Linked DNA regions of Nothobranchius furzeri. The protein of the gene in region 2 binds, or shares a complex with, the protein of the main gene of each other region. Links are inferred from orthologs where the notes say so. Each region holds a gene or a part of one and is shown on either strand. Other genes may lie near its edges.

Region 1 (3,589 bases), on a different chromosome or scaffold from region 2:
CTGACACCTCTATCAGACTGCTTGATAAAAACTAACTGAGGGTTAACAAACACGGTTGTGAACGTATTAATGTGTAACATGTTAAAGAAAACTCCTGGACGGCTTTGAGTGTTCTGGTTCTGCATCACAAAGAAACCAAAAGCATGTGATTGTTTGTCAAAACACAACAAAGCTGTTTCATGAGGACAGCCATTCGCTAATTAATCTTTAACCTGAATTTGGTAAATATTTTGCGACTAAATCATTTAAAAACACTTGTGACAAATTTTCCCTAAGTCACCGTGTTCAGTTTTCTGTTAAATTAACTAAAAGATAAAATGTTGAAAAGCAAAAAATAAAACAATTCAAAGATGACTTTTATATTTATTACCTGGGCGAGAGGTTTGGAGCTGGGGTCCAGCTTGCCTCTGAGGATGTCAAACTCGGCCCGTTTGTGCCAGAATCTCCACGCGTCCAGCAGGTTGCGGTAGTTTTCGATCCAGCATTGAACTCGCGGGTCTTTCAACACTTCACCCGGGGAACCCTGATAAACGAGACAGGCCAGGTATTTGGAGTAAGTATTTGTAGCCTTGATTAGTCAATGTAAAAAAAGTTAAAACCAATCCAGAGTTTCCCCCATTTCACGAAATTATTTATTTTAGAAACCCGTAAAAGTGATTAGTGACCCTGTACTGTGACCGGCCCTTTCCACCAGGTGCGTAGGCAATGCGTAACGTCCGTGAAACATTGTACGCAGTAGTGATGGGAACTCTGACTCCTCTGGCACCTTAACGGACACACCACTAGAACTCAGCAATTAGCCATCGTTTAAGCGGATAAGTGCATTTCCACTGACCGCAAAGAGTCATTTTGGAAGCGTCTCAGAAGTAGGGGGCGCATTGCTTACACTTACAGAATGCGTCAAACTTCGCCGTTCAGATCGAGCCAGACAGGAAGTCATTCACAAAAGCAGTGTAAAGCATCTGGAAAGAAAAGTTCCTTACGTTGATCACCCCGCACACATCTAGTGGAAAGGCTGGGCGATAATGTAATGCTATTTCTTTTAGCTAAGCGTAACCTCCGTCCTGCAGAGCCCCACGCAATTTGAATTGACTGCTGCTCAGCATTAGCCAATAGCATTTGACATCGACCTACATACACACGTCAATCACAGATCGTGTGCTCATTTACGAAAGGATCAAGGCAGAGTTGGCGACATTTCTTATAGACAAGTCTTTAATAAATAGATGGTAAATGGCCTGTATTTGATATAGCGCCTTCTAAAATCTGAGAAAAAATGTGAGCTTCCTGTTTAGACTGCCTACTATCGGGATTGAGGTCCACAGTTTTGTGTTTTCATTACGACCCCAAGAGTACCTTCAGCGTGCAGAAGCTAGCCGTCTGAACATCTCCAGTTCGGTCCACAAAGCTCTCCATCAGATCCACTCCATCTTTAGTCAGGCCCGTCAGCAGGATGCCCTCCAGGTTTCCCGCCTCCTTCATCTCATTGGTCAATTTGTCAATGTAATGTGGCAGCTGCAGCAAAACAAGCAAAATAAACCCGATTTACGTGAACAGACTCCGACGACGTGCACAGAAAGGTTAGCGGGAGCAACGATGCAGTCCTGCCAGAACATGATCAGCTGCTGTTACCTGCGCATCGCTGAGAAACATACAGGCGAACGCTACTCTGTCCCTCACGGCAACGCTGCTCTCGTACTGAAACAGATGCAGAATTCTTGTTTTAAAAAGACACAACAACTTTAATGATTTTAAACCAACAGGAGCAAAAAATGACTTGTTTTGACCTGAAAAAGGTAAGGAGGATAAATTAAAATAATACCAAACAGAAGCCTGAGTATAACAGAACAGAAAGGGTGTAAAGAACATAAACTAGCACTTAGCTTTGGGCAAAGGTTCCTCTTTACATAACAACTTTTAAGTGTTACGGTGAAATGTGAAACACCTCTTCCTGCACACCTGAGAATTTTCCATATAAAGATCACTGAGGTATAACCCGCCAGTGTCTTACTGTGTGAAGAATAAATAAAGCTTTATATAAAGTCAAAACAAAAGGGCCAGTGTTGTGTTTTCCACCAACTAGCTTTAAAGGTCCACCATCCTGGGATTTTTCTTACCAGCACGCCATCATAGGCTCCAGGCTCACTGGTCAGAAAGGCAAACATGATGCAGAGGTAGGGGTTCTTAAGCTGCAGCCTCAGAGAGCTGCACATCTCCCTCCACAGGGAGGACTTCTCATCGGTGTAGCCGGACAGCGCCATGGCAACCACGTTCAGGTTCAGGTCACCTGTCGGTCAGAGGAAGAGGATGTATTTTCTGTTTCTACTGCAATCAGGTCATAAAGGATTTTATGGTTGTGTCTTCAAAGTAGGTGGAGCTTCATAAAATTATCCTCCAGTTTCATGTAAGGTTTAATACTTTGTTGGGGGTTTTAGTGACTAAATGTTAACAAGAAGCCCAACTACATGTCTCTAAAGCTCAGCAACATAAGGTTGTACAATCTGAAATTTTTATCTTCTGAACAAAGGGGCAGCAGATGATTCTCACGTTTTTGCAAATCTGGGGCTGTGATCAACACACTGTTAAAGCAATACACTTTGGTTTCTCCATCCATCCATCCATCCATCCATCCATCCATCCATCCATCCATCTATGCATCTATCCACCTATGCATCCATTCATTTATGTATCCATCCATCATCTATCCACCCAAGATTTCCTGCCAGCCATTCAATCATGCATCCATTTTCTTTTGCATATCTGGGTTCGGGTCGCGGAGGCAGCAGACTAAGTAGGGAAGCCCAGACTTCCCTCTCCCCAGCCATTCAGCCCAAATGGGAAAACCTCAACATGGAGGCATCCAGGAGGTATCCTAAACAGATGCCCAAGCCACTTCAACTGGCTCTTCTCGATGTGGAGGAGCAGCGGATCTTCTCTGAGCCCCTCCTGGATGACAGAGCTTCTCACCCTATCTCTAAGGCCAGATACCCGGTAGAGAAACCTCATTTTGGCCGTTTGTATCCACATTCTCTTTCTTTCGGCCACTACCCAAAGCTCATGCCAAAGATGAGGGTTGGAACGTGGATCAACCGATAAATCAAGAGCTTCGATTTCCAGCTCAGCTCTCTCTTCACCGATACAACGCCCTCATCACCGTAAATGCAGCACCAATCCGCCTATCCGCCTTTGGTTTCTGTACAACTTAAATATTCAACCTTAAGGTGAGATTTTAGACATCAGTTAAGTGATAGTCGAAGCAAGAACAGGAAGATTCAAATGTATGAAAATATTATATGAGCTGCTTCTTTATTTAGGTTTTGCATTTCAGCAAAATTGAATTAAAAAAAGAACCACTTTTGTTTTTGAGTGAACGTCTTCAGAGCATTCTGGGATTTTCTGTGGGACCCCTAAAGGGGACAGTGCCAGTTGGGTGTTTTCACTTTACAGCAAGAAAGTTAATATTTACTTTTAGAGACAGTCTGGGTGGCTTGAGAAACAGCATAATTGTAGCGCTCCGATCTGATAGCAAACGTTTCCTGTTTCACTCCATTCTGAGGAAGCACTGGTTGAAGTGTTTAGTCACAAATTT
Region 2 (3,625 bases):
TCGTTTCATTTAATTGTTGTAAAAACATGTCAACCATGATTTTTACTCTGTCCAGAGACCAGAACAGAACCAGTCAGTCCAGTCCGGCTGTGGTGGAATCAGAATGAGCCGAGCAGAACTGAATGTCTGAAACTTGAACATTTGAAAGAAGAGTGGACTAGAACTCCTCCCGAACCAAGTGAGAGTGACGAGGTGTTGCTGAGAGTTCCTGCTGCTGGAGCTTCTGCTGGATTGTCCCCTCCGGTTCTGTTTGGGTTTCCTAGTGACTTGGGTTCACCTCACTCTCGGTTCTGGTGATTTAACGATGGCGGAATTGATTTGTTTGACCATTCAGACCAGTAAACAGTTCTCAGAGGATCTGTTGTCACGACGACTGCATGTGTATGTCTGCGTGTGGAAACTCATTACCAAAGTCCAGACTGATGACCTTTGACCCACCAACCCGGTGTGTCCTCTGTGGACTAAGCTCTGCCCAGAGGTCATGTGGCGTGTATGGATTCATCAGAACTAACAAGTTGTGTAAATCATAATTTATTCAGCTCTCTCACCTGCATACAGTCATCTCACACTCACTGGGTCATGTGACTCCAGTCTATGACATCATCTCCAGGCCTGTGATTGGTCTGAAACGGTGCTGATGCTGTGATGTCAACAGTCTCTTCTTGTGATATTGATAGCAACAAAGCTGTAACAGAAGACATCCTTCTCCTGCGGCGCCGGCTGGACTCTGTGGTGCAGTTCTGGTGACCTTCAGTCAGAATCCCATCAGACCTCAGGACAGGTCTGTCCATCAGGCTGCAGTGTTTACGACGCCTCCATGTTTGTCTGCAGTCATGGAACATCTGCATTAAACACAATCACAAAGGCTTGTTTAAGTATCCCAGTATTAGACATACAAATATATATCGTTCAACATGAAAATAAAAAGAAGTTGTTTTTTTTTGCTTTTTATAATTTTGATTTCCGCTGTTTATTTCGGTTCATTTCTCCTGTTTTCTGCGCTCATTTTGTCTCTACCTTTAAACCAATTAAGTTTAGGTTCTAATTGTTGTTTTTTTATTACACTAAGAGAAAATTCCATCAAATATTTGTTTCCTCTGAAGCGTCAATCTGTTTCTGAACAGATTTGGAGGAAAAATAGCCCCCAGAGCCGCATCGTCCTTCCTCATTTAACAAGTGGAGAAACTGTTAGGGAGTGGAGAAAACTTGAATTTAGCTCTCATGGATCCAGCAGCCACGGTTTTTACTTCTCATCTCAGCGGTGAACCTTTATGGAAGTTTGAACATTAGATGAAGAAGCCCTTTTAAAAAACAACTAAATAAAAGCTGAGAAGAAAAAGCAAAGGGAAAAGAAACTAGTAGAAGGAAACAGATAAATGAATAAGCAAATCAGTGTAGAGTATGTAAAGGAGGAAAGGCTATTTATAAAACATTTATAATGTGAAGCCATAGCGGGATATCTAAAAGCAGCTCTCAGTAACACATGACCTGCAGTTTAGTCTCATGTCTGTTTGCTGTTCTTTAAGGCACTTCATTCTTCTCACTGTACCCCTACATACCCCCAGTACCCATTCATACCCCTGGTGCACCTACATACTCCTCAATATTCCCCAGTACCCCCCCAAATCCATCCCAGTACCCCCATCACTCACAGTGCCCCTCAACACCTCCCAATATCCTCCATCCCTCCCAGTGCCCCTTCATACCCCCCATCCCTCCCAGTGCCCCTTCATACCCCCCATCCCTCCCAGTGCCCCTTCATACCCCCCATCCCTCCCAGTGCCCCTTCATACCCCCGATACCCATTCATACCCTCACATCAGAAGGTGCTCTGCAGCAGGCAGTGGCAGCCACAGCCAGCTGGACACTCTTCCTGCCTCCAGAACCAGTCCATCATGTGGCTGGTGTGTCCTCCGTGACCACAACTCAGACAGAAGTTGGACGATCCTCGGACGGCCACGTGACAGATGGCGCACTGGAAGGTCAAACGCTTGCAGACGGCACACTGAGTCCCACGAGCCTGACTCCGACAGTGACAGCAGTACACACCAAACTCTGCAGAGGCCCCACACACACACACACACACACACACGGTACAGTTCTAACGCATCAGAAAACACACACGGAGGCTTTAGAGTGAGTTGGACCATACCGATGCCTTTGTGGGCTTCTGGGGGGCTGGACGTGAACTTCAGCACATCGGCCCTCTTGTCTCTCAGACCCCAGCGGTATAAAATCTCTCCATAACATTTCTTAAAGTCATCGAACTGCAGCGTGTTGGCCGGGTCCAGCAACCTGCACAAGCAGAGGAAGTGACATCATCCTTCTGGCGTGTTATTTGGTTTTCTATTGGAGCTTACTGAGATGAAAGCAGATCTGAAGAGAAACATCTAGATGTCTCACCAACCCCGGTTTGTTTCTGGCTGAATACATTATAATCTGTCGAGTCTCAGGCAACTCTTGTGAGTTTTAAAAACTGACCCCCATCCATCAACAGCTGACAGGCTCCACACCCAGGTTAACCTCCAGACCTTCTCCCTGCTCCAGCTGTTCCCAAAGCTCCTACAGGCTCACCCCCCTCCCAAGAAGATGCTAAGGATGCTGGGTTAATTCTGAAGGGGGTTTCCATGGAAACCAGACTGATCAGACACAGCTGTTTAACCTCTTGTTCATGTCGTGCAGCTCTCGTTCCCGTTCTCGAGGATCGGTATAACCTTGGTTACCATAGCGATAGTCATCAGGGGAGGATTCACCCCAGGGTGCAGTGTGTTCTGGATCTCGGACTGAAAACAGGAAGAAGTAGAGTCTGACAGGAAACTGAGACATCAGAATGAGTTTTGTGTGTGGCGCCACGGAGTCTCACCTGTGTTCCAGGTGCTGGTTGTGGTGGAGTCCGAGGTGCTGGAGCAGGAACCCGAGGTGACTGAACTGGATGTGTAGCTGGGCTGAGACATCAACACAAACATGGAGTCATGTCCTGTAAAGACCTACAGAGACTGTAGTTCGGCCTGCTAAGTTCTGACTAGGGCTGGACAATCACTCAGTAAACATTTACATCCACCGTCAATGTGGTGCAATAGAAAAAATTGTATCAATAAAAACTTCAATAAGTTTCCTTTTTCCATTATAGCCTATCAGGTGGCTTCATACTAGAATCATTACTTACACACCTAACCAATCAAAACCATAGACTCAACGCACGCTCTGTCACCGGGCAGCAAAGTGACAAAAAAAAGGGACGTTTGAACAAGACTGGATCAGGAATTTTAAAGTGAAAGTCTGTTATGTGGATGATCCAGCAGCTGACTTACGTATCGGGAATGGTGTGATGGGAAGCGTGAGGAATGGTGCCCATATGGGAAGTAGCTGTCAGGTGGAGCCTGAGACCTGAAGACGCTGCACAGCATGGCCAGAGTCTGGACATCACTCATCTGACTATAGTGGTCCAGACTGGGGAGGGGGGGGGGGGGGGGGATCAGTGCGCACGTACACACACACACACACACACAGATCAGGTGTAACTTGGCCGATCTGGGAGCTGCTTTAGTAAACAAACTTACAGAGTCTCCAGCAGGTGGCGTCCAAACGGGTGTCTGGCCCAGGGGGTCTCCGTGTCGGGGTCAAA
Region 3 (4,087 bases), on a different chromosome or scaffold from region 2:
ACATCAATTCTGTTTGCTTCACAGCCAGACAGGACACGGGGGGGAAAAAAAAGAAAAAAAAAGAAATCGGACCTGGGAGCAGCTGGCGATGGTGCTGGTGGGAAGACCAATAGAAGGAGCCCAGCCGACGTCTCTGACCCAATCACTGTGCGCCTCCAACTTCTGGTCCTCTTTCCACTGACCGTCTTCCTCTCTGCAGGCAGAACATTATTCAGGCCACAGAATATTAGCTACATCTGACGTTCACTGTTGAAAGTGTTCTTTTTTTTATCCATACAGGATGACAGATTTTCAACAGCAACTTACTTCCAGAGTTTCACCAGGTTGTCACATCCGCCAGAGACGAAGCGTTTGACGTAGTTTGGTTTCTGACCTGATGGCTGATTGATCAGGCTGCCTGGAACTACAGCAGGAGCCCAGCTCACTGCATTACAGCCAATCTGAAGCAAAAAATAAAGCTTTTAATTATTCTAAAGATACACTTCACGCCCCAAAAGACACAGAAACACTAAATTAGAAAAGGTGAGACAGAATAAAGTTTAAAAGATTGGTGACAACTTAGGAAAACCATTTCATTTTTAACTCACGGTGTGTGCGTTGCTGATCTTCTTGACGTCCCACTGCTGATCACCAGTAAATGTGAGGAGGGAAATTGCTCCATCTGAACTGCCACAGGCTAGGATTAGACCAAATTCATACGGACCCCAGCAGACTGAATTCACTGCAAACACAGAGACAGAGTTAAGGACGAGATCAAGTTGTGTGGAAAACTATTCAGTCAAACTGATCTCTCAGCCCCAATATATGAACATGAATTTCTTTGTAATTTCTTAAAAAGGAAGGATCAATTAGAAAGGGAAAAAGAAATGTACTCAAACAAAAGAGAATGTTGTAGAAACAGAACTTAATCTGAATATTTCATTTTTCTAAAGGTGTTGGCAAAAAAAAAGAGAACATATCTGAAACAAGACGTGTACTTTGGTGCATTACACTGACCTGTCGGGCAGAAGAAGAAATAAAATTACAACATTAAGATCAAAACATTTGTTATCTGTAAGAAAAACGGAACTTCTTCCAGCATTACTAGCACCTGAACTTCTTTCAAGAAGGCCACATGGATTAGCAGAATGAGGAGGAGGAGCACATTTAAACCACTAGAGGGATATTCAATTCCGGTCCTGGAGGGCCGGTATCCAGCACATTTTAGTAGTTTCTCTGCTCTAACACACCTGATTCAATGGTTGAATCACCTGTGCAGCAGCTCATCTGGCTCTGCAGAAGCCTGTTAATCACCTGCTGATTGAAATCAGGTGTGTTGAAACAGTTAAAACTAAAACATAATGGATACTGGCCCTCCAGGCTTGGAAATGAACACCCCGGCACTAGAATAATGGAGAACTCTACCTGATGACTCGTGTCCAGTGTACTCATACATCTTGTCCCAGGTGCCGTTCTCCTCCTTCCAGATGACGACTTTGCGGTCGTATGAACAGGATGCTAGAATGTTGCCGAACATTGGATGAGCCCACGCCACCTGCCACACAGGGCCCTCGTGGCTACATGATGCAGGACACACACACACACAAATAAATAAATAAAAATACATTACAGAACAGGTGAAGATTAAATCTTTAGGAAATAAATGGAAGTGTATTGACATTCACTTGACAACTCTACTTACGTAAATTTCTGTGCATATTCCAAAGCTTAGATCTCTTACCCTCTGAGGTCTGCCACCAGGATCTGTCCACCATTGCGGACGTCAAAGATCTTAACGGTGCGGTCAGAAGAACACGTGGCGAGTCGAGTCCCGTAATAGTCCATTTGGGCATCATGCTGAAACAGACAACAAAGCAACACCAGGAATGTTGGTGGGGATTTCTATGGGGCAGCAAAAGCACCAAACAATGGAAGCATGACACCTGGTTTATTCATAAATGAACTGATGGTGCTAAACTGAAACCCATTCCTTAAATCTTTCACCATCACATAACAAATGTGCGGCATAAACTGCATCATTTGAATGTTTGTTTTGGTTTTGATTTCCTTAAATTGAAACATTGAGAACATGATTAATCTTATCTTTTTAGGGAGAATGTGAATACGTGAATGATTTCGGCTAGATTTTCCCTACAACTAAAACGAAAATGCAAAACACGCCGATTAAGTGAAGTTTAAAGACTATTTAACAAATTTTCACAGTCAACACTACAGAATAATCCACATAGCACTGTTTCTGTAATTATTACACTATAGCATCTGGTACAGTTAAGACAAACATTTTGACTGAACGATCTAAAAGCACTAAACTAATTAAAACAATGTGCTACTCCTTTCTCAAAACACACATCCCAACAGTATTACATATTTAAATTAAAAACTGCTGCTTTACACAGAACACTTACACTTGTGGTACTGAATGAAGATAAAAGCTACAGCCGCTAACTGTTAGCTTTTAGCATCAGAGATAAAAATAAAACTGGATAAAACATAAACACTTACGATCATATCCTCGTGTGAAGTGTCCACCGTGTTTATAACGGAAACCTGCAATTGACAAACAAATAAGAACAAAATCAAGCAAATATAAAACTATATCCAGACAGATTAGCCTCCTGCCGTTAGCGATCGTGCTAATGGATTGACAGCTACCAAGACTAGCCAGCAAAATGTAAACATAAAATCAACATCCTAGAATATTTTGAGCTGAAACTAAAACAAAAAGTGACGAAATTCACCATGGCTGTGGCTAAACCGTGTAAACAAGAAGCCCCTGTTCTCTATCGACTAACTTCACAAGGTTCACAATTCCGACGTGGCAACAAGTACAGAAGCCGTTTCCTCCACCGAGTCCCACCTCACTTCCTACCGGGTAAAACAAAACGCCAAATGATAGTTCTGCGTGAATTAAAAAAGAAGAATAATAAAAACTTTAAAAACGCTTCATTTAACAAACAAACAAACAAAAAATAATCAAACAATAAAAAGGAAACAGTTTATTTGAGCTAAAAGCTAAAATTATTGATGGAAACTTAAATGTACAAAGACCCTCTATACATAGAATAGAATAGAATAGAATACCTTTATTGTCACCATACAGGTGTAAAGTGAGATACAGAGCATCTCCTACTCAGTGTAAAACAAACATACTTGGGACACACACACACACACACACACACACACACACACACACACACACACACACACACACACACACACACACACACACACACACACACACACACACACACACACACACACGCACACACACACAGTACATTTACACCTGTCTGTAATCATATTATAATTACTAATAAAATAGTAACATGAATTCACGTAAACAAATAGAAAAAGACAGAAAACAGAACACATCGATACATTACATTCCCTTTATCATTTCAATACAACATTAAAACAAAAAAAAAACATTATTTTAAGAGGAACAAGTGCTTCTTTTTCAGGTCTCCTAAATATCAACTGGTAATAATAGTCAATTTTTGAAGATGTCTCTCAGATTGTGATTTTTGGACAGCAAATTATCACGTCGTTACCCCAGATGACCACAAGGTGACGCCATAAACCCACAATAGTCTGACCTGACAGCTGTTTTTATCCTAACCCACCAAGGACCAGGTTCGGCCTTTTACTGAGGTCCTTGCTGCTGCAGATGAGGGCTCAAGCAATTCTGTATGACCCTCGCTACATAGCTGCAATAAACACGTTCGTCTTCCTTAGCGAGGCGCTGATGGGTGTGGATATGAGGCACCAGACCACGGTAACACACACACACACACACACACACACACACACACACACACACACACACACACACACACACACACACACACACACACACACACACACACACACACACACACACACACACACACACACACACACACACACACACACACACACAAATTATTCCATATAAATATGAAATATCAACCTGACTGATCTTTGAATGTTTAATCAGAAGAATATAGTTACTTTTACTTGTTCAGGGACCATAAACACACTTTGTATTACTGTAATTCAGACAGAGTCAGGTATATAGTTTATGAAATTAATTTAATTCTTTTACAAA

What was found.
Region 1: the proteins of wdr59 (region 2) and mios are in contact, whole or in part, in a cryo-EM structure (PDB 7UHY), measured with the Homo sapiens proteins. The link is inferred for Nothobranchius furzeri from reciprocal best matches to the Homo sapiens genes WDR59 and MIOS. Residues at the interface, in NP_085058.3 of Homo sapiens: Tyr871, Arg876, Glu877, Arg879, Ala880, Glu881, Leu883, Lys884, Pro889, Pro890, His893, Lys894, Gly895, Ile896, Glu897, Phe898, Gly899, Val900, Tyr901, Arg906, Glu908, Val909, Arg910, Thr912, Phe922, Gln923, Ala925, Ile926, Cys927, His928; in NP_001357005.1 of Homo sapiens: Asp705, Trp710, His711, Arg713, Ala714, Ile718, Ser721, Lys728, Pro729, Leu730, Ala731, Gln732, Val733, Phe734, Val735, Ser736, Cys737, Asn738, Phe739, Ile744, Lys780, Pro781, Leu782, Pro783, Leu787, Cys788, Leu789, Gly793, Pro795, Gln819.
Region 3: the proteins of wdr59 (region 2) and sec13 are in contact, whole or in part, in a cryo-EM structure (PDB 7UHY), measured with the Homo sapiens proteins. The link is inferred for Nothobranchius furzeri from reciprocal best matches to the Homo sapiens genes WDR59 and SEC13. Residues at the interface, in NP_085058.3 of Homo sapiens: Ala525, Tyr526, Gly527, Asp531, Ala532, Asn533, Ile534, Pro535, Phe536, Pro537, Arg538, Thr539, Ser540, Gly541, Ala542, Arg543, Phe544, Cys545, Gly546, Ala547, Tyr549, Val551, Phe553, Thr554, Arg555, Met557, Ala644, Gly645, Lys646, Val647; in NP_899195.1 of Homo sapiens: Val4, Ile5, Asn6, Thr7, Val8, Asp9, Thr10, His12, Asp14, Met15, Ile16, His17, Asp18, Ala19, Gln20, Met21, Asp22, Tyr23, Tyr24, Gly25, Leu28, Val42, Pro59, Trp61, Gln62, His67, Pro68, Tyr79, Ser105, Asn107.

Annotation. Positions count from the first base shown.
Region 1 is NC_091745.1:63,844,582-63,848,170, reverse strand, and holds part of mios (GATOR2 complex protein MIOS), read right to left. Parts: intron 2,288-3,589; coding exon 2,118-2,287; intron 1,699-2,117; coding exon 1,633-1,698; intron 1,516-1,632; coding exon 1,357-1,515; intron 524-1,356; coding exon 371-523; intron 1-370. UniProt on the Homo sapiens protein: As a component of the GATOR2 complex, functions as an activator of the amino acid-sensing branch of the mTORC1 signaling pathway. The GATOR2 complex indirectly activates mTORC1 through the inhibition of the GATOR1 subcomplex.
Region 2 is NC_091749.1:66,253,787-66,257,411, forward strand, and holds the end of wdr59 (GATOR2 complex protein WDR59), read right to left. Parts: coding exon 3,561-3,625; intron 3,451-3,560; coding exon 3,312-3,450; intron 2,946-3,311; coding exon 2,864-2,945; intron 2,784-2,863; coding exon 2,663-2,783; intron 2,296-2,662; coding exon 2,153-2,295; intron 2,056-2,152; coding exon 1,820-2,055; 3' UTR 1,819-1,819; exon of another isoform or gene 1,813-1,818; intron 843-1,812; 3' UTR 516-842; downstream 1-515. UniProt on the Homo sapiens protein: As a component of the GATOR2 complex, functions as an activator of the amino acid-sensing branch of the mTORC1 signaling pathway. The GATOR2 complex indirectly activates mTORC1 through the inhibition of the GATOR1 subcomplex.
Region 3 is NC_091743.1:73,558,755-73,562,841, forward strand, and holds the start of sec13 (protein SEC13 homolog), read right to left. Parts: upstream 2,872-4,087; 5' UTR 2,742-2,871; coding exon 2,739-2,741; intron 2,548-2,738; coding exon 2,503-2,547; intron 1,837-2,502; coding exon 1,721-1,836; intron 1,557-1,720; coding exon 1,405-1,556; intron 722-1,404; coding exon 588-721; intron 441-587; coding exon 307-440; intron 194-306; coding exon 73-193; intron 1-72. UniProt on the Homo sapiens protein: Functions as a component of the nuclear pore complex (NPC) and the COPII coat. At the endoplasmic reticulum, SEC13 is involved in the biogenesis of COPII-coated vesicles.